Linked DNA regions of Oreochromis niloticus. The protein of the gene in region 1 purifies or fractionates together with the protein of each later gene. This does not show direct contact. Links are inferred from orthologs where the notes say so. Each region holds a gene or a part of one and is shown in the gene's direction. Other genes may lie near its edges.

Region 1 (7,018 bases):
AGATCTCTGCCCTGACCGGGGGCCTGCCATCTCCGGTACAGGAGGCCGTCGTGGGTCTCCAGGTTGTTGTGCTGGGAGTAGTAGGCCTTCACCTCGGGCTCCTGACCCGACACCCCCGTCCAGTCTGGGCGTTGCGCCGCCTCCAGCCAGGCCCCCACCTGAACCAACGTCGCGTCGGCCTCCTGCTCCCGCTTCAGCTGCTGCATTGTCAATGGGAGCCACCCCCCTCCGCTGGCTGTGGCCTGAGCAGTAGCCACCCCCAGCACCTCCTGGGCCCGCTCCTCCTGTTGCAGACAGTAGCGGCACTCGACGGCCATGCAGGGCCGTCTGGAGAGGGCATCAGCGTTGCCATGCTGCCGACCTGCCCGATGCTGGATCTCAAAGTCGTAGCCCTGAAGGACCTCCAGCCAGCGGGCCACCTGACCTTCTGGGTGTTTGAAATTCAGGAGCCAGGTCAGAGATGCATGGTCAGTGCGCAGGAGGAACCGGCAGCCGTGCAGGTATGGCCGGAAGTGCCGCACCGCTAGCACTACGGCCAGCAGCTCCCGCCGGGTCACGCAGTAGTTGCTCTCGGCTCGCCCCAGAGCACGGCTGAAGTATGCCACCACTCGTTCTCCAGCCTCGCCCTGCTGGGAAAGGACCGCCCCGACTCCTACATTGCTAGCGTCAGTGTCCACAATGAAAGGTTGCCGGGCGTCGGGGTAGGCCAGAACTGGGGCTCTGGTGAGGGCCTCCTTCAGCTGTGCAAAAGCCGCAGTGCAGGCATCACCCCAGCCAAACAGCTGGCACTTGTCAGTCAGGCGGTGGAGGGGGCTGGCCATCATCGCAAACCCCTTGATGAACCGACGGTAGTAGGAGGCTAGGCCCAGGAAGCTCCGCAGTTCTTTGACGTTCGAGGGAGTCGGCCAGTCCCTGACCGCAGCCACCTTTGTGGAATCGGTGGCGATACCTTGAGCGCTGATCACATGGCCCAAGAACGTAGTCTCTCTCGCCAACACCCGGCACTTCGCAGGGTTGAGCCGCAGCCCAGCTCGACGGATGGCGCTGAAGACCTCGCTCAGGTGAGACAGTGCACTGTCGAAGTCGCCACCGTGCACCAACAGGTCATCCAGGTACACAACACAGCGGCTACGAGGGATGTTCACGAGCACCCTCTCCATCAGCCTCTCAAACGTCGCTGGCGCATTGCAAAGCCCAAATGGCATGACCCTGAACTGCCACAGCCCCTGTCCAATGGTGAATGCAGTCTTAGGCCTTGCTTCGGGGGCTAGCTCCACCTGCCAGTAGCCACTGCGTAGGTCGAGGGAGCTGAACCAGCTGGAGCCGGTAACGTAATCCAGGGCCTCGTCGATCCGTGGAAGCGGGTACGAGTCCTTCTTGGTGACTGCGTTCAGACAGCGAAAATCCACGCAGAACCTCAGGCTGCCATCCTTCTTCACACCAGGACTACGGGTGCCGCCCATGGGCTGTTGGACGGCTCGATCACCCCAGCCGCAGCCATCTCACGGATCTTTTCCTCCGCCACCTGCCGTTTGGAGAGGGGCAGCCGGTGCGGGTGCAGACGGATGGGTTGAGCAGAGCCGGTGTCGATGGTGTGCTGGACCAGCCCCGTCTGCCTGCAGTCTTTGTCACTGGCGGCAAAGATGTCCACATTCTCGTCCAGGAGGCACCTCAACCGCTGGCGCTGGTCAACGTTGAGACCTACGCTGCTGCGCTGCCACAGGTCACCAACAGCCTCGGTTGTCTCGGTCGAGGGAGATTTGTCGGGCTGAGAGGCCGGGGCTGAGGTGAGTAGAGATGACCCGGAGCCACCAGCACCCGAAATCTGCTGAGCGGCAGCCGCCCGACGCCTGTCTCGTCTGGCTCTGGTTCCCTCTGCTCCCTGCTTTTGACCGCACTGGAGGGCAAGAGTCTCTGTGCCAAGAGTGATAGCCCGCTTTGCGGTGTCGACGCAGGCCCCCCAGTGGGTCAGCAGATCAAGGCCGATGATGCACTGGTCTTGAATGTCAGCAAGCCAGAAGTCATGCACCAGCTCCAGATCCTTCACTCGGACCCGCAACGGTTTCTTCCCCCGCATATCAGCCCTCTCACCCGTCACCGTCATCAGCTGGGTGTCGGTGGGCGACCAACCCTTCACCAATGGCCCGGACGTTCCAGGGAGCACGCCAGGTCGTATCAGGGAAATGGTGGGGCGAACATCTCCTCCATGTTTGGGGGGGGCACCTGCTGGTTAGGTTGCGAGGTGAACACCAGCTCGGCCCTCTCAGCCTCAAGGAGCGCCTCACAGAGAGTTTGAGGCATGGCCAGGCGGACGTGTTGGCATAGTCGCTCTGGAAAACGTCCTCGCAGAAAAGCATGCAGGCTAAGCTCCTCATGGGCTGCTGCTGGGAACTCCGGGTAGCCACGACGAGCATGCAGCAACACGTCCACTGCAAAGGTGCCCAGGCTCTCCCCCGGCCGACGGCTCCGGTTGGTCAGCTGCTCTCTGCTCTGATCAGTGGAGTGCCGCTGCCCGAATCGCCTCTCGAGTGCTATGGTGAGGGCCTGGAGCTCATGCTGCTCCGACGGGGCTAGGTCAAGGAGTACCTGCAGTGCATCTCCTTCCAATGCTAGCGCTAGGTGTGTAGCAGCCTCTTCGTCGCTCCAGACATTATGCCTCGCGGCTAGCCGTACTTGTGAGAGGTAGGGCTCTAGCGGGGTTAGCCCGTTGTATTTCGGTACCTTAGCTGGCGTTGCAGGCATCACTGCTCGCTGTCGGGGGCTCGGTGTGTCGGTCGACAGAGGCAGCCCATGAAGCATTGCCCCAGCGTCTGTCGCGATGGGCCGCCGCTGCGGTGCGCTCGCGCCGTCGGGACCCGTCGGGGGACTTACATGGCTGCTCGCTTCCTCTCTCCTCGATCGCCAGCTTCCCAAGCAGCGGATGCTCTCCTCGACAGCTTGCTCCAGCCTCCGAATGTCTCTCTCCATTATGGCGAGGGTGAGCAATCCCACTTCTGACACCAATGTGGCGAGCTCAGACACGGAGGAGACAGAGGTTTCTTTGGGAGCACCCGTTTATTTACAACCGGCCCAGAACACTGCCGCTACCTCCCTCCTCAGCGCGGCAACAACAACATAAGAACAAAAAAGGCGCTCTCTCCCCGAGAGAGCGCGTCACTCATCACTATGACAACAGAAAACAGAACTATAATAACAAAACCCCTTAACAACCCTGACCCGCTACAATATCAATATTTTTTTTAAAGTAAAAATGTCTGCATTTGGAAAATGCAGGGGCAGTGGAGCAAAAAATTTACACACTACACATATAGTCATATATATCAGAGATTTCTACATTGGCATTGATTGCGTTGTATCTGAACAGTACTGTACAGGATTACCGGTGCACAAAGAATTTGGAACCACTTATGTCAAGCTATGAGAGGATTCTGTCTGCCATGATTTTCTTTAAGTGGACATTTCCCCAACTTTCACTATATAGATATATAATGTTCAGATATCAGACTTGTTAAAATGTGGTCTGGTTCTCAAAAGCCTTCCACTCAGATATAGCTCCATAACAACACTTTAACTGTGGATAAGAAGAAGAACTGATTAGTACTCTTGTACAACCTGATAAGTTAACAGCCCCAGCTCTGCCTTAAGTCCATGTGCAAATCTATACTGGCTTTTTTGATATTACTCTCTTAAAATTCCTTTAAAGCGCAGAATAAAATCAGGGCATTGCCCAAAAATGACTTTTGTGATATCTAGCACAATGCAGGAAATCAGAAAATTCTCTCTGGGATAAATATGCAACCAAACCAGGTGAAAACTGGAGAAAAAAAAATCTAATTCTAATTCTATTGCATGGTAGTAAGAAATTAATTAATGTAAAGGATAAAGCGGTGGAACTGAATTTTATGAAGCGCGTTTTTACCATGTTTCACACATCCTTGAAAGTCCATTTTACCATACTCTGGGTTGAGTGGGACTCCTCGCGGTGGGGTAAGTGGCCTACCGAAGTTGTCTGACCCGCCCCTCCCCGCCGAAGTTGCGCCTCCCATTCACCGACTTTCCGCCGTGTGTAGTTATGTGTTGATGCCGTCCATCCCATCTTCTGTCTGCTCAAGCACATTCAAACCAACTTTTTATTTCTAGAGGAACTTTTAAAATGGCTTACACGACCGCAGGTGGGACAAAGAAGAAGGTCTGCTACTACTACGACGGTATGGGACATCCTGAGCGTGTGAATGGGGAGCCCAAACTGAGCCATCTGGCAGGCTAACGCTAGCCAGCTAGTCAGTGTAGCTGCTGGTGAATGGTGAAAATAACACTAGCAAGCTAACGAGTAGGCGCTAATGACCAGCGTTTGAAAGGTCTCCGCGGTGCAAAGAGAGTATTCGTGTGTTAACTGTTAAAATGAGTAAAAGTTTTAAAAAATCACCTTACGTAAACCGAGCCAGAGAAAAGAGGAGGGCTTCGGTTAAATTAATGTTGAGAATTAGCGACACAAGCATTCATTGTCACGATTGTATAACTTTGTGCACGGGCTTTGTACACCTCGTTACCTCTGTCAAATCAAAATGATTAGGAACTGATGAGTCGACGTCAGAGTTACATTCGTGAAAATAATAAAGCAAAATGTGCCACTGTTGCACACAATTAAGTGCTCAGGCCTTATTAGAGCGTATCACCGTGTTGTCTAACATCACACTATCTCATAAGAGAAACCACTTATTTGTATTCCTCGTGTACAGGGAACATAGTTACAGTGTCTTGTCAGAGGTTTGCAGAGACTCGCAGTAAAAACTAACTTTGTTCACACATAGCCCTGCATTCAGTTTACATGTACTAGAACTCAACCGTGCATTCAGTTTTCCTCTGAATGTTTAACAGTCAAATGCTGTGTTATTGTTGTTTTTATGTTGCTTTTTATGTCTCACTAAACACAACAACCCAGTTGTTTTTTTCTCTTTTCTACTGTCCGTGCTATTCCTCTGAGGTTGCATTTGCTCTTGCACCCGTGTACTGGGTGGTTGGCTACAGCCTCGTGAACTTTATACTTTTTAATAATATTGGCAACTGAGATCAGGAGTTCATTCATAGTCTGAAGAAGGTGTAGTGAGCTATTGTAGGATAACTGCATGTGCAGGTAAAATTGAAGTAAACATCACTGTTTGACCTGCACAGTCTTGTGATCTACTTCTTGGTGGTAAGCAAACATAGTTTTCCAGTTACATTAAAAATGCTTGAATGATACTTATGGTATTACACCGTGACTGATCTTGCTGTTGTTGCCCGCTGTTGTTGTTTTGAGAAAAACTCTGTTCGCTTTCCTTTTCTGTTATTTGCTGTTCTAGCATTATGCTTGTGTCATGCTAGTTGTTAAGTTAGCAGCCACAGAATATCTCAAAGATTTAAAACAGCTAATACCTTAACATATGGGGGTTTTATTTGGTCTTTTTGTTTGGTGTTTGTGGTCACTATTAGAACAGGAACAGCCAATAATTAAGAAGGGGGAAAAAAGAAGCACAGTGCACACATTTTGCATTTTGTCAATTTTGATGAAAAATACAAAATGTGCTTTTTTATAGAATATGTAAATGAGTGACTGTGACTTGGAGTGTAAAATCTCTTTTGTTGGTCAGAGAGACCCTGAAAAGCATCCATTTTTATTTTCATTCACAGCTTCAATTAATAATTATTATCGGATGGAAATGTGTTTCTCATCTCGTTCCTTTTGTCTTTGCAGGTGACATAGGAAATTATTACTATGGACAGGGGCACCCCATGAAACCACATCGTATCCGGATGACCCACAACTTACTTCTGAACTATGGACTGTACAGGAAGATGGAGGTCTATGTATGTTTTCCAAGCATGTGACACTAAGCATACCGTAAGTTCTGGCCTTCCTTGTTGTAGTTTCCACCCAGCTGGTTTGTCTTGTGTTTCAGAGGCCACACAAAGCCACTGCAGACGAGATGACAAAATATCACAGTGATGACTACATCAAGTTCCTCCGATCCATACGACCAGACAACATGTCAGAGTTCAGCAAACAGATGCAGAGGTGTAAGTCATCGTGTCCTCTTTGGGACATTACAGAATTTTGTAAACTATTCCAAGTACGGAATACAAGGAGCTCCTCTGCTCTTCTGTTTCCATTCATACTGCTCAAACTATTTACTCAGCCAAAGAGTGTAATTGTCTGAGATGTGAACACTGAACAGTCAGGAAGTTGTGGAGTTTTAGGTTATGGTGTATGAGTAAGAAAGTTCTGTAGTAGGAATTTTGAACACCTTCCTGTTTTGGGGTTTCCTATTTATTTATGTATTTATTTACTCTGCAGTCAATGTTGGGGAGGACTGTCCGGTATTCGATGGCTTGTTTGAGTTCTGCCAACTGTCTGCTGGTGGTTCAGCTGGTAAGTTGTGCTAATGATGAATCAGATGTTGCTAAGCGGTCATATAAAAGGTCTTGATAAGTCAGTTGAGTCAAGCTATCTGAATGATTATGTTAGAGATATACTGTAAAATAGATACTCAGATCCTAACTGATACTAAAACTGATGATCGGATTAGTTACTCATTTATAGCAGTATCAGTGCCCACAGTGCTGTCTTTGCCTCTGCCAGCTGACACACTACTTCCCACAGAGCCACAGCAGACAAGCAGGAACATGCACCACGTGATGACATTCACAACACTCACAATATTTTGTGAGGAACATCAGGAAGTCATAAACCTCCTGTTTCAGCGACATTGTACCTATCTGTAACAACAGTCCTGCCTATTTGTAACATTAATAGACGCTGTCAATTTAACAGAATAACACAATTATTTGTATCTAAAAAGTCTTGTGGTTCTCAGTCATTTCTACATTGTATTTGGAAGGATAATATTCCTAGAGACATGACTGTCATTGGAATAACAGGTCAGGATTGAATCCCCTACAAGACCCTATAATAATGAATACTAATCTTGTTTTGCGTAACTTTGTGAACCACCTTTGTAATCCTGAGGATTTGGTGGGA
Region 2 (7,067 bases), on another chromosome or scaffold:
AGCCTGCTATTTTTAACAGCTGCTTTTACAGGTAATCTTTATTTTTTATTATTATTATTGTTTATTTTAATTGCGATATTTAACCATATTTATATTAGCAAGAGCACCAGAAAACATAACATCAATCATGTGTCTTTTTTCTTGATTCCGACTCCCACCTTAAAGATTTGAAACCCTGTGTTCACTTCATATGGTTTGCTACTGAACATTTAAAATATATGTCTTCTGACAGTGCAGTGAAACAAACTAAACAATAAGTGATTTTATATCTTTACAAAATAACATATTATATTTAGCTATAGACCACAAGTTGTGACTTCCCTCTGATAAAGGGTGGGTGTAAATATGCTGTACTAAAACACAATTGTGGAAAACTTAAGGCTTCTATTCAAAGAATTAGTTTGGCCTCAAACAAAGCTGAAGAAGTCAGAGAATAATACTAATACAAACACACATACATTACAGCAAACAATAAGATCACGCACAATCATGCCTCCACTGTATGTTACTGAGAGAGATACATATATATGTATTCCATCTCACTGCGCAATAGACTGCCTATAGACTTCATATAAGTCTATTGGGCAGTTAGATGGAACTCGTCTCACTCAAATGTCTCCAGATCACAAAGTATACATCTGGAAGACATTGAGGGAGACATTGTAAGAAAAAAGACAAATTTCTTATGATTCGGTGGTAAAATGATAGCTGAAGTAACATTTTTCTGGCTCTCTTTTTCTGGTGGTTAATTAGTCCTCTATAGCCCTCCCATTCACCTGAATGAGGAGATATTAGTGACGACACATTAAATAATTCAAACATGACAGAAAAAAATGAGGAAGCAATTTGGTGCCAGAATGCTGTCTTTACAACAAACTGTAGGGAAGGTACACACCAAGCAAGAAAAATAATATTAATATTAAAGTATTTAGCCAAACATAACATATACCTGACAGTTAGCTTTGCAACAGTGAGACAGTTAATGATGTCACAGCTGCACAACACCTAAACATACTCTATAAAAGCTGGCATTACAATAAAATGGTCCCAAGTCTAGCAACACTTAGACAACATGAAAGTTTTAATATATTTAGATTTCATAATTTCGGAATTTCCGCAGCAGATTAGATGGAGAGTCACCAGCCCAGCGGAAGCGTCGATGGCAGAAATCACCTGCAGCAATGATAAAAAAAAAGTCACTTCACTTCCCTTTAAGCAGTTCAGCACTTTTTAAACAGCTGCTGTTTACTCTAGAAGAAATTCACATGAGGAACAGTTCAGATCCTTCACTGAGTACTCAAGCCTGTTGTGTACTCGGCTTGACTATAAGCTGTACTGATGCTTGTGGAGGAAAGTCCATAATCATACCTGTGTTTCAGCTATAGTAATACTGACTTGCAAGTGTTTATCCCAGAGGTTATGACTGACTTCTAACTCTAAAAATTAGTTGGGGAACAAAGTCCTTACAGTGCTCTTTAGCGGCAAATATTTGAAACATTTTGTGGCAGTATTATAAAGGAAAAAGGAATCCACAGCGAGCTTCTGTAGAATCTCAGGAAAACAGCCCTGTCCTGTCAGCCCTGAAGACTGATGCTAAAAGCTAGCTAAGAGGAAACTACTAACAGGGTCTCACAGCCAAGTTGTGAATAATTGCTGAACCTGAAATTATAACCAAAGTAAAATGAAATCAGTGCTTTAAAGTGGTAGCTTTGAAGTGCAAAATGCAAAACCTCACAAAACACTGGGTGGGCGTGCAGCCCCTCTTTAATATGAGCACTAAAGAGCTCCTACTTTTATATTCCATGAGGTTAATATAAGAGCAGAGAAGCTCTTGAGCAGCTGCTCTGAATATCCATTGCCTCTCTGCAGTGAAATTAGATCGAAAATACACCAAATCACGTCTATCATACTGGTATCAATTAAACGTTTCTCACGTCTGACTTTCAAAAATAAGGATCCTATGGCACTGACCACTTCCTTACTTGTATTTTGTGTGTTGTTATGTATTGCTCTCCAGCAACATCTTGCTTTAAAGAATCAGAATAAATTTCAGTTACCTGAGTATGTCGTGCTTTCACACGAAGATTTCCCCGTTTCCTGTTGCTCACAGTGAAAGCTCTCTGCTTGTGACGTGATGGGGTCTTCTGGTTTGGAGGCCTCCAACATTGGTTCCTTCTTATTTCTCACAGCCCAGTGCATTGACTGTAAACAGATTAGCAGGTTTTTTAAGCGTCAATGATTGCACAGTGTTTTGAAGAATCCAAAGTGAAGACATTACATACAGTTTTCACTGAGTCGTTCAAGGCCTGCCAGTCGTGAAATGGGATCATAACTCCACTTCTTTTCCAAAGATCATAGTTTTTCCTTTTGTTTTCATCACATAAAACCTCTTTGGCTTCCTGCAGCTTCTGGAAATCTGCCACTTTCACAACAGAAAAAAAGGGGTTCTAATATAAAATTAAAAATTAAACAAAACAATTCACTGTGTACAGCTGTAAGCATCCCCTCTATTAGCATTATTTGCTTTGAAGTTAAGATGTCAGAAACAGACATTAGCTATGTAAGAAAAGTGTGAATTAAGAGGCATTGAAGCGGTAATAACACACTTCGTATTACTTTATTGCTTCGGTCTATGAAAAAAAGGTTATATGAAATATGACTCACACACAGTTAGTGGTGTGTGTGCATTACCTGCTCTTGGGCTGTCGAGGTGTTTGTCTGGATGACATGCCAAGGCTCGAATCTTGTATTCATTGAGAATCTGTTCGGTCTGCAGGACAACAAAACAAAACAAACCTCATAGTCTGATGTGATCTAATCAATCAGATCGATGTTATCTTGACCGTGTTATTGACTATTTGAGACCCTCAGCTCTGCCAGTCTATGACTGTTGCTGATTGTTGAGTAATATATTGAGTGAAAATTGGCGATCACAAGACCGCAGTGGATATGTGTGTTGATGTTGCTAATCAAAGATTTATTTTAGTAAGATACATTTAAAAAAATCACACTGATTCCATATCTAATCTAGTTATACACAAATGAATTTAAATGCTGGCTGGCAGACACTGGATGACGCACGACTAGTTTCACATCAACAGGTCTCAGTTGGTTCAGCCTAATCTGAGGCACACATACATTTTTATTTTTACATTTTTTGGCTCAGCAGTGTACAGGCTATTGATCGTTGATGTCTCATGTAGTATTTTATGTTTTTAACCCCCATTTCTCCCTAAATAATTACTGACTTATAGATCGAGACTATATCCGTTCAGCAACCCAGCAAATAGTCTGAGCCTTAAACCCACTGACCAGAACTTACCGATGACAGTTCATCACATCCCAGTAACCCGTAGTAATCCTCCAAATCCTCAGGTTTACAGCTCAAAACAGCCTCCATAAAAATCTGTCGGAGAAGCACGTATGGCTTCTTTTAACGGACCACAAATGCTGCTGAACGTGATCACAGCTGATCAGTTAAAGGGTTGCCAAAGGGTTCCCCCTCTCACTCACTCACTCACTATAACCAACTAGCTAACTACTAACTGTTAGCAAAGTTTGTCTTAGTATGGTTTTGTCAGCTAGCGTTAGATTTCAGGGATTATTAAACTGTTGAAATTTTCAAGGGAGATCTCTCCTGAGTTGTTGGGAGAGCCCAGCTGCCCCTTTTCACCGTATGACGTATGATGCATTCAAGGGTCTTGATAATGGTCCTGCTTACTAGAAAATTCGTTTATTCATCTGGCTAAGAAACAAAGGCAATGGTAGCTTTAGGAAATTAGAAATGTTATATTTTTATGTAGTAAAACTAAATTTCTTTCACATACTTAAGGCTTGTGTGGCAACGAAAAAAGAAAATGACAGATTTGTAACTGGGGCATTAATTAAGTTTACAACGACTACACGTCAATATAAAATCGTTTATATTTACGCGAAACACATCACCGAAAGGCTTGAAAGATTCGTGAGGGCTAACCTATGATTAGAAATCATCCGACAGCACTTGAAGGCAACAATATTTGTTATGGTATAATGTCAGCGACGTAGAGGGGGGCGTTTCGCTCGGGACTACTGGTGGAGAACGAGTCACGTGTGCTATGCAAATGAGCCAGCTGTCCGAGAGGAAGGCTCCTGCTCAGCGGCTCTGCGGGCTGAAGATGGCGGACGGAGAGAACAGTCTGAAAACGGCCTTTTCGGGCGCCTCCGATACGGGGGAACCTCACGCTAAGATTTCGAAAATCAGTCCAGGGACTAACTATGGACTGAAAGCCGTCGAAGCGGACCAGTTCTCGTGCGTCTCCGCGGCAACTGAGAGCTGGGAGGCGGCGTTGAATTGTGCGCAGCCCGCGGAGAAGGAAGCGAAGCCGGTGATGGCGGTAGAACAGGCCCCGGCAGCGCTAGGCGGAGACAACAATGGACTGGAAGTATTGCTCTCCGAGACTCACAAGCCAGTGGGGAAACTTGACGACACCGCTGTCTTTGGCGGAACCGAGGACAGTCCAGGTATAAAAAAGAGAAAAAAAAACTTTGAGTATTTGAGTGACTTTCAGTGAGAAAAATTCTCTTTGCCAACTTAACCGGTGAGCTAACTGGCTCCATGTGAAACAGTTAACTTAGCTAATGTTAAATACAGTAATGCTGTGTGGGTGTCGAGAACTCCTGTACTCCTAAAAACGGGAACTTTTCCACTAAATTATATTTCGCTAACTCTCTATCAGTGATCCTGTCAGCACAAGTTTGTCCATTTAACTTTTTCATAACCACGCAAAACTTTGAGAGCAATTTGGCGTTTGTTAGCCGGTTGAAAGTTCACTTTGAGAGGCTGTTTTCACCGATTTACTTTTGTAACGGGTCATAGCAGTTATTAAAGAGAGTCCCGACTTGTATCTAGTCATATTTAGTTAAATTTCTCCATGTCTGTACTTAGATTTTCTTGGGCACGATGATCTTCCCTCCAACGGTTTGGCTGTCACTCCAGAGCACATCACTGAAGACGATGACAGGTCCTCACATGCAAGCTCCAGCGACTGGACTCCTCAACCGCAAATAGGTAACTAACATCATTAATAAACTACAGTATCTTAGATTACGCCACTTATGATATGTATTTAGTGTTTATCTATATATTTAAACCACATAATAATTGTTTGCATTGCACAAGTATGTGTGTTTTGGAAATCCAGCCATACTGAGATGTTATGTTCTTGCTCGCAGGTTCCTACAGTTTCATCCAGCAGCACATTAGAGAGACAGATCCAAGGGCCATCCTGAGGGATTTGCTGCCTGAGACTGTACTCCCACCAGATTTAGATGACATGACATTGTGGCAGATCATCATCAACATCTCAGAGCCTCCAAAAAGAAAGAAGCGGAAAGATATTAATACCTTAGAAGATGTGGTCAGGCTACTACATGAAAGTAAAAGGATCCTAGTGCTGACTGGTGCTGGGGTATGCATTTTTTACTTTATCATGTAGCTCTACTGTGTAAATTCGATTTTTAGTATTAGTGTTCATTGCATCTCTTTATTATTTTTATTTTATTTGTTGTAGGTTTCAGTTTCATGTGGAATACCAGACTTCCGCTCCAGAGATGGAATTTATGCACGGCTTGCTGTAGATTTTCCAGATCTTCCAGATCCTCAAGCTATGTTTGACATTGAGTACTTCAGACGGGACCCTAGACCGTTTTTTAAGTTTGCTAAGGTTGGTGTTACACAAACAATAGAATAACAATTTGAATGCTCCCTAACAAAGAATTAATAATCTTAATCCAAACCATAAATCTCTTCATGTAGACCACTGCAAGGTCTACATGACTAGAGGATTATGCACTTTCATTCTGTGAAAGGGTGTTGACATTTAGAAAATATAATAAAGGGAAACTACTTAAATGTAAGCCGCTTCTGAGTTCCTGTTAAATTTTGTAATGTTGTTTAATACGGTGCCCCACACCCCCATGTTTACACTGACTTTTAAATGGAGAATCAGAGCCTGTTTTTTAAGTTAACTTAAACATAACATAATGTTCAGTTAAATTTGACCCATTTTGACATTTGGCAACAGTAAAGAAAAAAAAAACATATGTCTTTTAGCTTGAAATTGTTTAATTTTCCGAAAGTAACTTAAAATTTTATCACAAGAACTGTTTGTGTTCCCACCACATTTGACCAGGCCCCTGCAGAGACGGGAAATTTAAAAGATCGTGGGGAATTCTCCAAACAGTAAAATAGTAAAAGAACATAGGAGTGATCATATAAGATGCACAAAAAAACAGAGGCTATACAGAAGTCAGAGGGTCCCTTATCACAGACACAATATCTGTAATAGGGTGGGAAGGCGGTCCATATACAGGAGCATATCGTGGTATAGTGGGTAGCACTGTTGCCTCACAGCAATACTTTTCCTGGTTGAAAAAAGTGCTTAAAGTTCAATAGCTGTGTGGGTGTGTCTTGTAAACTTACACAGGATTTTATGTTTTTATCTTCTCTCTTAAGCACATTGTGTTTACATATTAATAAATGTGCTTCATGAATAAAATTGCAATTAAGTACACTGAATAAAGTGCTGTATGTATTAGCTAATAGAGATTAAAACAGATCTCATAATATGGGTTGGGTCATAACATTACAAAAGGACCTGAGCTGCCATTTCAGTGAGTGTGGAAAACTGATGTGGAAGTCCCACACATGCAAGGTTTCCTAGCACTGCTTTGAATGCACAGACTAGTTTGCAATAAGCATTTTGTATATATATTGTGTTCTAAGTCAGTTAATACTGCACCCTGAAAAATGTTTTAAATTGTTTTAAAGATTGATCACTCATTTATTATTATAAAATATATTCAAGCCATACTATGAGGCATGAAATATGAACAGTTATTAAGGGTTTAAATATGGTCCAGAAAAGCCATGGTGGGGGTATATGACTATAGCAATGTTTGCATTTTCTTCACAAGTACTGAATGCATAATTTTATATTACAGGAGATTTACCCTGGGCAGTTTGAACCTTCTCCCTGTCATAGATTTATATCTATGCTAGATAAGCAAAGAAAGCTGCTGCGCAA
Region 3 (7,779 bases), on another chromosome or scaffold:
TGTAAGATTCAGATAATTATTTATTAAAAGCTAGACATTTTAAATGAGAATAAGGAGCAAAAGTATGTCTTTGTGCCCCCTTTTCCCTGTTAATGCCATATCGGCCCCCCTGGCTAAACTTTGCTAGATCCGCCCCTGCACAGTTACCAGCCGTCCGTCAGCTACGTAGAAAAGGATCCTGGTGTAGAAAGTAATATTAAATAAATTCTAACGACACCTTATCAAGGTTAAACGTGCTGCTGTTGTTCAGCCGCTGGTTTCCTCTTTCTGGTGCAAAGTGTGCCAAAAACAAAGAAGAGAGACGGACTCGCGACAGAAAAGCCGATCAGCTGATCATTAAGCAGTTTCATGAAGTAGCGGCAGGAGAGGGAGGGAGAGAGGCAGTCGCTCCATATATCGGTTGTTAAGCTTAACGTGGGAACGCTTTACAAACATTCAGAGATGAACTTACACACTTGCTTTACTTCTCTCTGGGATAACTTCCTCGGAGATGAAATGCTGGTTTGGTAGAGGCTACAAATACACACAGCCGCTCTATCAAGTGAGCACACTGCTCCGATGTGCTACGGTTATGAGCCGAGTTACACCGTGTCGCAAGTTTTGTGAGGTGCTTTTTTGATATTTAATGGATCGGATTACATTTTTTATTTCTGGCCGATATCCGATCCAGTAATTTAGGTCAGTATCGGACCGATACCGATACCTAATATCGGATCGGTCCATCTCTAGTAAAGATCAGGCAGGGCAACTAATTCAATTTTAATGTAAATTAATGTTTTGGCTTCCAATGATTATGAAAACCAAAATAACAAAGCTTTCAACCCTGCCAGAGGCTCAGACCTAGTTCAGCTCGAGCAAAGATGACTAAAAGAGATCTTTCAGCCAGCACCATCTGTGTTATGACATTTTTCGATTGTTTGACGGCCTATTATGAAGCCTTTAGCTGATTGTTTTCATAATTTTATAGCCCTTTCCCCACCTGCTTGGTTCGACATGGTTTCAGTCTGTAAACAAAGCATGGCAGACTTGACCACATTTTTACACTTTTCAGCACTTTCTGTTATTTCCAGTTGTTATAACTTGCGCATGGCGGCAGCTTTTCAGTTGCCAGCTAAACACACCACTAACAACAACAGGACCCAGTTCATTCTGCTTTTAAGCCGGTGAGGCGTGATTGCTGATGCCGCTCAGGTGTGTCCGCCTCCCCTGCAGCCACACTGCAGACCACGCCTTGCCACATACCCCCATCGCCTAACTGAGGCCGGGGAGCCATCCGGGCGAACCTATTCAGCAGCAGGGATGTATTGGTTCAGCTGTGTGGCAAGTAGGGCTGCCACGATTAGTCGACTAGTCACGATTACGTCGACTATTAAAATCGTCGACGACTAATTTAATAGTCGACGCGTCGTTTGAAGCTTTGTAAGATCCCAAAAGACGCAGGAATAAGTAGTAGTATTTAAGAGTGTAATAACGGACTGAAACAGAAGATGGCAGCACTGCATGTACAAGGATGCCAGCTGCCGTTAAACCCCGAAGAAGAAGAAACTGTGTTCCAGAATTCATAGCGCGGCCCAGCGCAGTTGTCAACAATGGCGGCAGCTAGTTAGTTTTAATATTACAATTATTATTCTTTCTGGGTCACAAAATAAACGTTTAACATATTTTCAGGTGTACATTTTACGTCCAATGGATGCATGATCTGATTAGTCGACTAATCGCAAAAATAATCGGTGACTAGTCGACTATCAAAATAATCGTTTGTGGCAGCCCTAGTGGCAAGTGCCGCTGGCGCAGCAGTCGTGGACGTGAGCCGAGGTTCGCAGGCGGCCGGCACGCAGGGTCCCACCGCACGCTGGCCTCTGGTAGAAACGAGGCAGGTCCAGCTGGTGCGCAGGTCCCTCCTGCACTCTGACCTCCGGCTCTGGCTGAGCAGGACTCTCCCGCATGCTGTCAACCAGCTCAGGCTGATAAAGTCCCTCTGGCGCCCCGATCCCCAGCTCTGGCAGAGCAGGTCCCTCTGGCACGCTGTCCACCACGTTGGGCTGAGCAGGTGGTGGAAGTGGAGGTTGCTCGGCTGCCCTCCTCCAGGGAACAGGAACAGATACAGGCACCTGCCGGGTACTAGCCACTCCCACCTGAGGAGTCCGTACTGGTGCGGAGGTAGGCTGTGCCTTGGCTGGCCTCACCCTGGGGACTGGCAAGGGGTGCCGGAGCAGAACGGACACCAGCCACTGCCATACGGTCGAGGGATGCCGATGGGGGAGGCGGCAGTGTCAGCCAGGACCCGATCCAAGCTGCCAGACTTGCAACAGCTGCATCCGGCACTCTGCGGTCCTGCAGCTGTTCCCACTGGCGGCGTAACACCGCCACCTGCTCCCTCCGCTCTCTCGCCCACCATTTGGTTTAGCACCAGTCGCAGTTTCGCCATGCCCGATTTCTGGGTTTTGGTGCCACTGTAAACGATGATTGCAGATGGCGGTCAGGTGTGTCTGCTTCCCCTGCACCTGCGCCATAGACCATGCCCTGCCACACAGTCATTTTCCATTACAATCAAGTACCATTTAGTGTGCATGGGGTCCTTATAGAAACGCAGCTGAAAGTCCAGTGACATCATTTGTATGCGACACAACACCACAACAATGGAGGACATCAAGACGTCGGTATACCTGCTGGTTGGTGTATGACTTTTTGTTTGGGGACTACGGTATTCTTTCTTTGTGCACCCATTCCCGTCATTGCGAAGTTTCAATAAGAGTGGTTTTGATTTTCAAAAGAGAGACTCTTTCATGACTCATCGAGTGATGCCACTGAATAGCCAGTCGGTAGCATGCAGACTGTTGATGTCACATTTTCGGATTGCCTAAGATCACGTGGAACCCCAGCTGAGTAGGTAATAAAAAAAAGTACCTGGTACTAGGTGCTACCACCTAGTGGAAAACCCGAGACGAGTAGGTACCAGTGGAAAAGGGCTATTTGTGTTTTGAACCTATACGTGATATGTGATGGATGGATATCATGGTGAGACCACACACTGAATAACAGCTTGTGATTCATGAGTTATAGCCTAAGTCCTTCTTTCTGACACTTACAATGAGTGTTTACAAAGTCATGGAGCAAATGAGCCAAGAGTTGGTTTTCCCAGAGGCTTCTGCATAGACAGAGGGGTATTTTGGGGGGGGGGTTCTGACAGCAATCTACTTGCCTTTGCGAGATGGGCTTCACTGTCAAAAAGACCCGCTAGTCCCGGCCCAACTCATTGTCAAATGAACCTGTGTCATGTTTATTTGATTTTCAGTTGAATTACATTTAAAGCTAAGAGAATCCACTGTTTAACAAACATCATGCAGTAAACATGTTCCTGTTGAAATAATAGGTTCACTCACTTAGATTTATACTCTGTTTAAAAAAAAAAATAAATGAATAAATATATTAGGAGAATATAGAATATCAGTGACATTCAGCAACTTCAGTTGACGACAGGTGAGCGATTGAAGTGTCTTACCAATGGGAGTGAAGGAGACCATTGACTGGCATGTATATTGGAGGGTTACCCACTCAGCTGGATATTCAAATGTCTCCTGGTGGTAAACTTTCAACTAGGGCTGGGCCATATCATACCGTTCACGATAATTCCGGTATAATGTTAGGCAATGATGAGAAAATGAAATATCGCGATAGAATATGGGTAAAACGCGCATGCGCAGTGCCTTTGCTTTCATACACACATGTCGGAAAAAGCATGGCAGCAACAGAGAATGAGAAGGGCGAAAGCGGATCGTTGTATGAAACAGATGAACCAGAATTGGTTTGTAAAAATGGTGCAACTTCAGTGGTGTGGAACTGGTTTGGCTTTCGTCCGTGAGATACACACCAAAGCACAATTTTTGGTAGAGCATGCCAGCAGGCCGTCGTTATTACCGTGTTTTTCGGAAAATAAGGCACACTTAAAATCAATCCTTTGATTTTTCTAAAAAAATTGACAGTGCCCCTTATAATCTGGTGTGCCTCATCTGTGAATTCTGGTTGTGCTTACTGACCTCGAACCGATCTTATGTGGTACACGGCGCTCAAAAAATCTGTCAAATGTTTTAGTACGACTTTCGTAAGTTACGAAGCCGTAACGCTTGATGGATTGTTGGAGCATTACAGCTATTGTAGTCAGGAGCCTCGCAGAGTAATACGTACTGTGCGTCAACATAATATTACCGTATTGTGTGTGTAAACCTCCTTTTAAGTTTTGTGGATATTATACATGGTTAAGCTCAGGATATGTTGGCCAGTTTCCACTGGAAATGCCTTTTGGTTAAACTGTCAGCAAGGAATTTGCATTTGCACTGTTAAATTTTATATAGCTTTATTGCACATAAAAAAACAGCTGCTTGTTTAAGTGAAAATACACTGATGGGTTTTTTTTTTTTGGTTTTTTTTTGGGTTTTTTTTTTTGCACTAATAAAGTTGTGGAGTTGTAAAGTATTTTGTCTCACGTCAATTATATCGTCAGTTTATATTGTTATCGCAGATTTTCAAATATATATATATACTGATAAATATTTTGGCCACATTGCCCTGCCCTACTTTCAAGTACAAAGCTTAAGACTAGAAAAGCACTATACAAACGCTAGGCCATTGCCAATTCCATTATTAGGTCTTTAGCTGGGTGAAAGGGGCTTGGCATTATATTGTACAGGTGTTTCTAATTTCCTCTTTACTTAGTGTACACTGGTTACATCTGTGTCTCATTCAGACAGGAGATGACGTCGGAGAACAGCCTTGGACAAATGTCGAGCAGTGCTTTGGGCTCCTGTGGTTGATTTTATATTGTCAAGATGAAATTGCCTTAATAAGGAAATCGTGATGCTGCCAAATGGTTCTGTGTAGCAGGCACACTTATGACAAATATTCTAAAGATTTCAAAAAAGCAGACACGCTAAAGCCCATGAAGTCATCTATTAAGGTAAAATAACAGATGTGTGGTATTGACTTTTTAAGGTGTATTGATACATTTTCAAATAAGATATATGGTAAAATGGTAATGTTTTTATTGATTCAAATTTGATATTGCATTGTTTACATTTTTTTGTGTCTAAGCCGTGCCTATTCTGAATATATGCATGTAACAGGTTTCATTTGGTCTTCATTGTCTTATAACATGGTCTATGCTGTTGTAGGGATTTTGTTGTATTTGTAGTAAGTTGTTGGTACTATTTGACCCCTGCAGCTGTTGAGCATCTTGATTAATAGATTTGTTCAGTGCACATGCTCACTGATGATGCACTGTTGTGTTATTGCATGTGCTATATGCTGAAACTAAAACACTCAGATATCAAGTTAAATTTGAGAATTTCAAAAACTCTACACAAGTATTTGAAAACTGTTAATAAAATTTGAAAACTATTAATCATATTCATCAATAATGAATCATGTTGCTTAACTGAGCAGCACCTCGCATCGTGGATTATGAACAATACGGTCTATTCTCGAAACAGATCCAGATATCCGGAAAACTTATAAATGTGCTCTGGATTATGAATGGTGCATGTTGTTCGATTTAAAATTCAAGACAACCACTTCAGTTAAACTTAAAATTAAAATGACAAAATGATAACTCATCCATCTATCAATTTTCTGCCACTTATCTGAAGTTGGGTCACAGAGACCTCCCTCTTGCCAGTCACCTCCTCCAGCTTATCCGGGGAACATTGAGGTGTTCTCAAGAGACGTAATCTCTCCACCGTGTCCTGGATCTACCCTGGGGCTGCTTCCCGGTTGGACATGCCAGACCAGAATACCTTACCCAGGGGATGACCGCCTTAGCTGGCTCCTTTCGATGTAGCGGAGTAGTGGGCTATCCTCAGCCTCTACCAAATGACTAAACGCCTTACCCTATAGTAAGGGAGAGCCCATCCACCTTTTAGAGAAAGCTCATTTTCCCTGCTTGTATCTGCAATCTCATTCTTTCAACTTTAAAAGAATTAATGACAATGATGTTAACAAAAAGATCAGGCCTAGAGTAATAGACTTATGGAATTTCTCAACATCAGTGCTCCACCTGGTGGCAGATGACTGCATAACATTTAGGACACAGCAGTTTACCGACATTGGGCATCAAACTACTAGTTCATCTGGTACTGACTAGTTACAGTAGCAACGATTAGTTCATAGACAACTAGTTGTGCACATCCCTACTACACCATACCATTGTGTTGCCCAAGATCCTGGGTCCAAATCAAATGGTCAGCTGTGGGCTGTCTGTGTAAAGTTTGTATGTTCTAGCTGTGCTTGGTGGGTCCTTTACAGGTACTCCTCCCACAGTCCAAAAAAATTCATATTAGGCTATTTGGCAATTAAATTAGCAGCAGGCTTGAATGTGAGTGTGAACAGTTGTCTGTGGGTTAGCCCTGGGACATAGACTTTATGACCTGTCCAGGTAGACTCTGGACAAGTCACTAGTCTATTCCTGTTGTCATGGTTGAGATAGGCTCCAGATCCCCCGAAAGCCTGTACTGGAGGATAAGCGGTTGGATAAGAAACATATTAGAATGTACTGTGTGACAAATAACAGAACAAACTGATCAGCTGCCTCTCCATTGAGTCTATCATCCTTCTGATAGACTTCAAATCCTCTCCAGACTTTGACTGCAGCTCGTTGTCATCCTTTTGCTCTGCTGTCTCAGTGTAGGAGCTTTACACTTGCTGTTGGCTGTGGTTTGACTCAAAACATGAGCCAGGAAGCAACATAGCTAGGTGTTTAACAGTAACTAAACTTTCAAAATAAGGGCTACTGTCCACTATTGATTTGATCACAGGTGGCCTGGTTCTCTCGGATCAATAAAAAATGAATGTTTAAACGTCTCACTAAATATACTTGAGTAGACAGCATACTTTGAACGTTCTCTGAAACACAGTCTGTGCAGTAACACTGATTAGTGTAAAGGCATCATGGTCCACTTGAGTGTGAAGAAGCTACACGTGCCAGATGCTTTTTGCATAGCTGACTTATAGCTGTCTGGTTAACAGTCCCTGCCTTGTGGTTATTGCCAAGGTGTTGTCACACTTTGGCAAGGTATCTAGCTAGCATTTTCACAGTTTTTATATTAGAGGTATTTTGCTAGCACTGACATCGGCAAGCAAGTGATGTTTAACCAGAGTCCCTCTTTTGCCACTTGGCAATGCCCTTAGGCAATTATTTTGAAGCATCTATCTAGATAAAGGGGGAGAGATGTATAACTTTTAATTCACAGGCATGTACAGAGTTTCATAATATTAAAGCTTTATTAACACTCTGTTTTCTGCCTTTGGCTGGTTCATTGTCGTTGTGACAGACCTTGATATAATTCAGCTATTTCTCTACTGAAGATCCCAGGTCTGGTATACTTGATCTCAACCAGGACTTTATTTCTAGGACTGAAGCTAGCAACAGTAGTCCTTTCTTCTCTGGAGGTCAGCCAGAAACGAACACAGTGAAATTAGTGTTTATCAGCTTTTGGAGAGCAGTTAAATTCTTTATCTGGGTAGTTAGTGTAACATTTTCCTGTGATGTGACCATCTCAGAACATAAATTTATTTCTTGTTTAAAATACCACACTGATGACGTCTTTGAGATTGTCTTTATTATTTCTCGGATGACTCTGTTTTACTTAGCATTAACTCAATGTAAATAATTTAGGCTTAGCAGTCTCTTTTTAGGATTTTTAACTACGGGGTCTTTTCAAAAACACATTTTTGTTATAATGGATAATAATAGATTTATCCTGGACAGCTTTTTAATGAAGGCTTTCT
Region 4 (7,832 bases), on another chromosome or scaffold:
CTGTTGCGATACAAAGGTGTTTGTTTTGTTTTTTGTTTTTTTTCCAGGTTTTCTCACAAACCTCTGCACAACAGTGTCTCAACTGTTAAGCATCTTTAGTGTAGTGTAACAGTATATGTACATAAACATTATGTATATATCTGTAAAATCAGATTTGGTTCTGTTTTGTTCCAACCATTATTGAAACAGTTTTCACTTTCTCTGCATTAAATTTGTGGCTGAAGACAACTGTAACTTGGTTGCTCAAAATGTAACACTTAAATTGAAAATAAATATTGTATTACTGGACTGTATGAAATGGGAGGATGTGTCTGGGAGTTTTAGTAAGATGTAAAAAAAAAAAAAAAAAAAAAAGTGTATTTATTTAAGTTTTATGGCATATCCGCTGTCAGATAACACAGGGTCTGCAAATTTCTGCGTCTAACCACAATACTGAACACTGAGTTGCATATATAAAATACAATGTTCGTTTCATAATAAAGGCGACTGGATTCAGTTTGAAACAAACTCTGGATAAGAAGAAGTCACAACACGATGGTCATTGTGTGTGTCGCTGGATGCACATAAATTGTAAGGAATTCCACTTGCTGTCCTGAAATAACCTGTAGCCTGAACCCCTGGAGCATCAGTTAATATTAGCTGAGCTGAAGCATTTGAACCCTAAAACATGTCATTTTAAATACTCGGCAAAGAAAAGAACACTGAGGCCTTTCTGATCAGACTTTGCAATATCTGCAGACTCAACTGTGGTTCAGCTGTCCCTCTGGAGGGGGGGGCGAGAAAAATCCAAGATAATATACACTCTCAGTCAAAGGTTTGGACACACTTTCTCATTAAATGTTTTTTCTTTATTTTCATGACTATTTACATTGTAGATTCTCACTGAAGGCATCAAAACTATGAATGAACACAGATGGAATTATGTAAACAGAAAAGTGTGAAATACCTCAACATGTTTCATATTGTAGATTGTTCCAAATATCCACCTTTTGCTTTGATTATTGCTTTTCACACTCTGGGCATTCTCTCCATGAGCTTCATGAGGTCGTCACCTGAAATGGTTTTCCAACAGTCTTGAAGGAGTTCTCACAGATGCTGAGCACTTGTTGGTCCTTTTGCCTTCACTCTGCGGTCCATCTCATCCCAAACCATCTCCATTGGGTTTAGGTCAGGTGACTGGAGGCCAGGACTCATCAGACCAAAGCACAGATTTCCACTGGTCTAATGTCCACTCCTTGTGTTTCTTGGCCCAAACAAATCTCTTCTGCTAGTTGCTTTTCCTTAGTCGTGGTTTTATGGTCAAATAGCTTAGCAGCTATTTGCTATTAGTGTTTGATGGGTATTGCAACTGCACTTGGGGACACATTCAGAGTTTTAGCAATTTTTAGGACTGACTGACCTTCAGTTAAAGTCATGATGGACTGTTGTTTCTCTTTACTTAGCTGATTGAATCTCTCAACCTGTCAGTTGTTTACCAACCTGACTTCTGCACAACATAACTGATGATCCCAACTCCATTAAGAAGGCAAGAAATTCCACAAATGAACCCTGACAGGCACACCTGTGAAGTGAAACCATGTCAGGTGACTACATCAGGAAGTTCATTGGGAGAAGGCAAAGGGTTTGCAGCGCTGTCAACAAAGCAAAGTGTGGCTACTTTCAGGAATCTAAAATATAAAACATATTTCTATCTATTTAGTTATTTATCCATTTTTTCTTTGATACATAATTCCATGTATCTTGCTTCATATAGCTGATTTCGTCAGTATGTATCTACAATGTACAAAGTAGTAAAAATAAAGAAAAAGAAGGTGTTGTCCAAACTTTTGACTGCTAGTTTACATGAAGAGGGAAATAGCTGGATTTCAAAAGCACAATGGGAATGAACAAAATATAATCCAGATGAAAGAATAAGATAAATGGAAGAAAAATGAACAAAAGTAACCAAGGTTAAAAACAAGAAAATGAGAAAAGGATAATTACAGTAGTAGGAGATAAAAACTTAAAATGGTTCTCTAAATTCTCAGAATTGAGTCTGCTGATTTCTGTAAATCTCTGAAAGTTTAGTTCAGGTCTAAATCCTGCAGCAATGCAGATTAAAGCCTCTAGTCACAAACTGTCAGACCTTCAAGGACCAAAGTTCATTTATCAGCTGCTTATTTACACAGGAGCAGTGTCACCAGGTATAATTATATGTAATGGCTAAACATGTTTTAATTAAACGCCTATATTTGCAGCCGCCACTGATAGATGAAGTGAATTATGTTTGGGATTTAGTTGCTGTGTTCATCCAGGAATCTTTGTATGCTGCGATTTTGTGTGAATGTTAAACATAAGATAACCTTTATTATTAGTCCCACACGTGGGAAATTTGTTTTGTCACAGCAGGAAGTGGACAGTGCAAAAGTTATGAAGCAAAAATTAGAATACAATAAGAATAAATATAGTACACAACTGTACAGAATAGAATAAAATAAAATAAAATACTATATACAGTAGAATAAAATATACAATAAGATAAAAATAGAATACAAATGCTATATACAACTGAGTAAAAATACAACGATGCCAGAAAGGAGTATTGCACATTAGTGTTATTGCACATGTGTGGATGTGTGTGTTTGATCAGTTGAAGTCTTTGTTGTGAAGTCTGACAGCAGTGGGGAGGAAAGACCTGCGAAATCTCTCCGTCCCACACCGTGGGTGCCGCAGTCTCCCACTGAAGGAGCTGCTCAGTGCTGTCACAGTCTCCTGCATGGGGTGGGAGATGTTGTCCAACAGGGATGACAGCTTAGCCGCCATTCTCCTGTCACTCACCACCTCCACTGGGTCCAGAGGGCATCGTAGAACAGAGCTGGCCCTTCGGATCAGCCTGTTCAGTCTCTTCCTGTCCCCAGCAGAGATGCTGCCGCCCCAGCAGACCACACCATAAAAAATGGCAGAGGCCACCACAGAGTCATAGAAGGTCTTCAGGAGTGGGCCCTCCACTCCAAACGACCTGAGTCTCCGCAGCAGGTACAGCCTGCTCTGCCCTTTCCTGTAGAGGGCGTCTGAGTTATGAGTCCAGTCCAGTTTGTTGTTCAGATGAACACCAAGGTACCTGTAGCTGTCCACAGCCTCAATGTCCATACCTTGGATGTTCAGTGGTTGCAGTGGAGGATGTTTGTGCCTGCGAAAGTCTACCACCAGCTCCTTGGTTTTACTGGCATTGATCTGGAGGTAGTTCAGCTGGCACCAGTCCACAAAGTCTTGGGTCAGTCCTCTGTACTCCTTGTCGTCCCCATCAGTGATAAGGCCGACTATTGGAGAGTCATCAGAGAACTTCTGCAGGAAGCACTGGGTGGAGTTGTGGGAGAAGTCTGCAGTGCAGATGGTGAAGAGGAACGGAGCCAGAACCGTTCCCTGTGGGGCCCCCGTACTGCAGACGACCCTGTCCGACACACAGCCCTGAGTCCTCACATACTGTGGTCGGTCGGTGAGGTAGTCCAGTATCCATGCTGTGAGGTGATGGTCCACTCCAGAGTTCTCCAGCTTGTCCTTCAGAACTGAGGGAAGAATGGTGTTGAAAGCTACTGTCCACTTCAGTATGGCTGCAAAACAACACAGCCTGGGGTAGCTGAATATTTACACGTGGACTGCTGTTTTATACCGAGCTCATCAATAATGAGTATATATTACATGGTTGTGTCACTTATCTGAAGTCTGCAGCATGAATTAGTCAGAGACATAACTTTCATGCTCTTAACCATTAATAAAAAGGTGCTGGTCATACAAACAGTTGAGGGCTGTTCAGAATTATAACTATTTGCATTGCAGTGAGTATAAATGAGTATAAATCATATCATGTCCTGACATGATTCACACCTACTGGCTAAAGAAAGCACAAATGAACCAGCTGCTAATGTATGACACACACCTTGAATGGCTAACTGAAGGGCCAATCCTGATTCTTGAAGTCACTGGTTTCATACAACTATTCAATTTTTAAATTCAATTTTATTTATATAGTGACAAGTCACAGTAACAGTTGCCTCAAGGTGGTTTCTATTGTAAGGTTAGGACCCTACAATCAGACGACCCAGGTGAGCAAGTGCTTTTCCTTGGAAGGGAAAAAAAAATCCCTTTTAAAAGGAAGAAACCTCCAGCAGAACCAGGCGTAGGGAGGCCTGGTTTTGGATGTCAGGCAACCATAGCGGCTTCAACAGGTTGTGGAGGATATTTTTGCAAACCATTCCATTTGCAAAAGAATAGCTAAAACACTATGAAGATACTTCACTACACAATGTATTATGGACAGGTTGTATCCAAAATAAACAGTTATTCTGCAGAAAATATTTCCCATCATTACTGTTGAAGGCTTCTATTTAATCCTGAGTCTGAGGGATTAAAACTATTAATAAAAAACAGCTGGTGCCAGCAAACAAGCAACCGTCTAGTTTCCCGACTGAGAGAGAGGTTTTTTTTTTGTCATTTGCTCACTGCACAGCCTTACATTCGCGGGAAAAATCACATCAGTTATAAAACATCTTTCCACTCAGAGGGGTGACCATCCTCTTAAAATAGTTTTGTCTATACATACGATATTCTGTAATGTATAAATCAGACAACCTTTTAATTATTAGTTAATTAATTACAATTTTTTTTTGCTACGTTTCGATTAATGTGAACCAAAATGTTATTATCTTCTACCTTAAATCACACACCACCCCGTTTCACAAATAGTGGTTTCCTCCGAAATGGCGCGAAATTGGAAAGCTCCGCCCATTATAAAAATCTTAGCTTCAGGACTGTAGAGACAAATGGCGGAAACTAGATGAATTTGCCTTCAAAATAAAATACAATCGTAACTTCAACGTAGCTTTTTCGCGGACGCACTTTTTGTTTGAAAGGCTGCTGTCGGAAGTACATTTCATATTTCTGTCTGCTTAATAAAAAACACGTTATTCGGGCTGCAGAGTACTCACGTCAAACTCTTTTCGTTGAATGTTTTTTCACGTTTTAGAGAAAGGAACATTTTCGGACATACTGCTCCGACATTGCACAGCTATCATAAATACAAGCAGTCAGCTAGGCTAGGTAGAGTGAGTTGTATGACTGTTTGGATAACTTGCTTGTGTAATTGACGAAGCTCTGCTGTTTTGAGCAGAAACGGAACGCTTTGAAAAGCTTCACAGAAAGCTCGAAGAACCCGCATAATTTGGACTGTCTGCATCGCTGCCAACAACGATGAGTTGGTAAGTGTAATGGTCGCTTCACTCACCGCAGCTACCGCGTTTCACAGAAACTTTTATTTACGGTGCAGGAAGTCGCTGCAGTACGGCTCTGAACGATATGCGTCGGTAGGTGTCGCCCCTCAGACACTAAGCGTTTTTTAGGAGAATGCAAGACCGGAAGCCAAGACTTTGTCCAGTGTCCCCCCCCCCCAAAAAAAACCCACTAAAGTTTTCACCTACGCCAACATCTCCTTCTGTATATGTGTATGTCTCTGAGCTGCTGTGCTGGAATATCATTAAATCCGACACGATCGTACACTCGCGCCAGTAACAAAACTCGAGAGGTACGCGACACATGTGTGACGCGTGGAGCATACGTGCACTGTAATAACTCGGCTCAAAGACCTGTACAGGTGAACGCAAAGGCGGCAGTATGCCCGCTGTAATACTGCAGCCCTGAGTCTCCTCGTTCCTAACATAATAGTTACAATTTCCGATAAAGTATCATTTTCTTCTCTGTAAAGCTTCGATGCACGTTTACTGTTACCAAGGCCACCGTGTGTTGGACAAATGCACCCTTACAACTCCCACCCAGAGAAAAAATAAATAAATAGCATACATCCCTTTTCTGCAGCGATCTGGAAGATTTTTTTTATCACCATTAATTAACCAGAAGTTATAACAACAACTTGCAATATTCTGAGTCACAGATGTTCACCGATTATCACGTTTCAGACAGCACAGAAAAACTGTCTGAAACTGCATCCTGTATGGTAAAGTATAGTATCTACATTAGCTTAGCACCAAAGTTATATGCAGAGTATTGAAATACTCGTGTTGTATTTCATCCCTTCAAATCAAATGTATCATTTCACCTCGGTTACAGGGCCTAGGAAGGGTCTAAATGGTGTTTACTCACCTCTGAAAAATGGCAGGAAAAGTTTTACTGAGTAGATTTCATTTTTCTGCTGATAGCCTAAAAGAAGAAACTCGAAGTGTCTCCCCTCACTGCCCCAAACCTGACGAGTCTGAGGAGCCGCTGGGCACAGCCATTGAAACTGGTGCTACTGAAGGTAAGTTCCATTTTTGACCTACAGAGCTGCAAAGCAAGCTGAGATAGAGCCAGTTTGATGAGGCATGTGCTTTGCTGTCATGTTGCTTAATTCTCAGGTGACACTGATGAGATGTGGCCAGTTCATTAGGAACAGGGCTCCATATCACATGCTCATTAACTAGTAAAGGCTAATTATCTTACACTTGTGTTACTGAAAAGATGCTGTGCACATAGACTTGTTCAGGTCGTGTCACTGTCAGTGTTGTTGTTGTTTTTTAAGATGAGAGTATGAAGTCTGAGGGAATAACACCTGAAGTGGTGATTACTAAGGAAATGGAGGAAGAAGAGAAGAAGCTAATGGAGCAAGGCGAGAGGAAAGAGAAGGAGATGATGAAAAAGGTATGTCGTTTAATTTCTCAACGTGGGAGTTGTATTTTTTAAACTATCCAAAACTGGCATATTTTATCAGATTAAATGTTGAAATTAATAACTTCTCATTATTAAACTCATTAGTTTTAAAACATTAGTAAAAGTAAAACATTAGTTTTAGTTGGGTTGTTTGTGTGGGTGCGATGCTGGTACAGATTTTAGGGAGTAAAAAGCGTATAGATGTGTGTCTGTAGCTCACCGGTCCACAAGATCAGGGAGTTCATGTGATGATGAGCCACAATTGAGATGTTTCTACATCACTGATGTGCTGGACGCTTTCGAGCCCACTCATGTTAATGTAATTGCTTTCAACCTTTCCCATAAGGCCAGGGAGTCTTGGGAGAGGGACTCGCATGACATGCGGTTCAAGAGGCTCCAGCATTTGCTTCAGAAGAGCAACATCTATTCAAAGTTTCTGCTGACAAAAATGGAGCAACAACAGAATGAGGTATGGTGTAAAATTTGGACCGTACAGACTTTTTGCACCTGTTCACTCAAGGCTAACACGTCACTTCTGCTCTGCTAATGACCATCTCAGGAGAGACTCAGGAAGGAGAAACTTGAGAAGAAAGCCAAGAAGGTGATAGATTTATTGAAAAAGTCATCATTTACAGTTACAATCATGTTTCCAGCCATACTCACGGCAGTTTGTTTCCTTTTAGAAGCAAAATGCCAACGGTGCAGAAGCTGACAGAGGTGAGCCAGTATTCTAATATTTAAACTTACAGTATGGAGCTCAGATGTCAGTTGTTTAGTAGCATTTACACTCTATGCACACTTTATTAGGTACACCTTGCTAGTACTGGGACCCTGTTGTGCTTTCTGTCATAATTCTAGCATAGGTGTTGGAAACAGTCCATACTGGCATTTTACCATCATACAGTTTGCAGATTTGATGGCTGCATATCCACAAAGCAGCTCTCCTGGTCCACCACAACCCAAAGATTGGATTGAGATCTGGTGACTGTGGAGACGATCTGAGTACAGTAAACTTCTGTCATGCTGGAGAAACTGATCTGAGATTTGTGGCATGGCACTTTAATCACACTGTGGGTACACTGTGTTCATAAAGGCGTGAATGTGGTCATCCACAATACTCAGGCTGTGCAGTTTAAACGATGTACAGTGGGGACAAA

The links.
Region 2: the proteins of histone deacetylase 2 (region 1) and sirt1 purify together in Homo sapiens (affinity purification with mass spectrometry; 3 studies listed by BioGRID and IntAct, with this or other methods). This does not show direct contact. The link is inferred for Oreochromis niloticus from reciprocal best matches to the Homo sapiens genes HDAC2 and SIRT1.
Region 3: the proteins of histone deacetylase 2 (region 1) and ehmt1b purify together in Homo sapiens (affinity purification with mass spectrometry; 3 studies listed by BioGRID and IntAct, with this or other methods). This does not show direct contact. The link is inferred for Oreochromis niloticus from reciprocal best matches to the Homo sapiens genes HDAC2 and EHMT1.
Region 4: the proteins of histone deacetylase 2 (region 1) and hells purify together in Homo sapiens (affinity purification with western blotting; 3 studies listed by BioGRID, with this or other methods). This does not show direct contact. The link is inferred for Oreochromis niloticus from reciprocal best matches to the Homo sapiens genes HDAC2 and HELLS.

Annotation. Positions count from the first base shown.
Region 1 is NC_031980.2:30,566,483-30,573,500, forward strand, and holds the start of histone deacetylase 2, read left to right. Parts: upstream 1-4,014; 5' UTR 4,015-4,153; coding exon 4,154-4,208; intron 4,209-5,734; coding exon 5,735-5,847; intron 5,848-5,939; coding exon 5,940-6,057; intron 6,058-6,334; coding exon 6,335-6,409; intron 6,410-7,018. UniProt on the Homo sapiens protein: Histone deacetylase that catalyzes the deacetylation of lysine residues on the N-terminal part of the core histones (H2A, H2B, H3 and H4).
Region 2 is NC_031978.2:25,306,126-25,313,192, forward strand, and holds the start of sirt1 (NAD-dependent protein deacetylase sirtuin-1), read left to right. Parts: upstream 1-4,055; 5' UTR 4,056-4,097; coding exon 4,098-4,503; intron 4,504-4,927; coding exon 4,928-5,050; intron 5,051-5,214; coding exon 5,215-5,450; intron 5,451-5,552; coding exon 5,553-5,705; intron 5,706-6,984; coding exon 6,985-7,067. Other genes in the region: dnajc12 (dnaJ homolog subfamily C member 12), read right to left, coding at 1,091-1,173, 2,058-2,202, 2,283-2,422, 2,692-2,770, 3,323-3,400. UniProt on the Homo sapiens protein: NAD-dependent protein deacetylase that links transcriptional regulation directly to intracellular energetics and participates in the coordination of several separated cellular functions such as cell cycle, response to DNA damage, metabolism, apoptosis and autophagy.
Region 3 is NC_031972.2:31,100,136-31,107,914, reverse strand, and holds the start of ehmt1b (histone-lysine N-methyltransferase EHMT1), read left to right. Parts: upstream 1-4,774; 5' UTR 4,775-4,864; coding exon 4,865-4,954; intron 4,955-7,779. UniProt on the Homo sapiens protein: Histone methyltransferase that specifically mono- and dimethylates 'Lys-9' of histone H3 (H3K9me1 and H3K9me2, respectively) in euchromatin.
Region 4 is NC_031978.2:31,195,241-31,203,072, reverse strand, and holds the start of hells (lymphoid-specific helicase), read left to right. Parts: upstream 1-4,828; 5' UTR 4,829-5,226; coding exon 5,227-5,234; intron 5,235-5,844; exon of another isoform or gene 5,845-5,986; intron 5,987-6,188; coding exon 6,189-6,286; intron 6,287-6,547; coding exon 6,548-6,666; intron 6,667-7,021; coding exon 7,022-7,144; intron 7,145-7,234; coding exon 7,235-7,276; intron 7,277-7,358; coding exon 7,359-7,392; intron 7,393-7,832. UniProt on the Homo sapiens protein: Plays an essential role in normal development and survival. Involved in regulation of the expansion or survival of lymphoid cells. Required for de novo or maintenance DNA methylation. May control silencing of the imprinted CDKN1C gene through DNA methylation.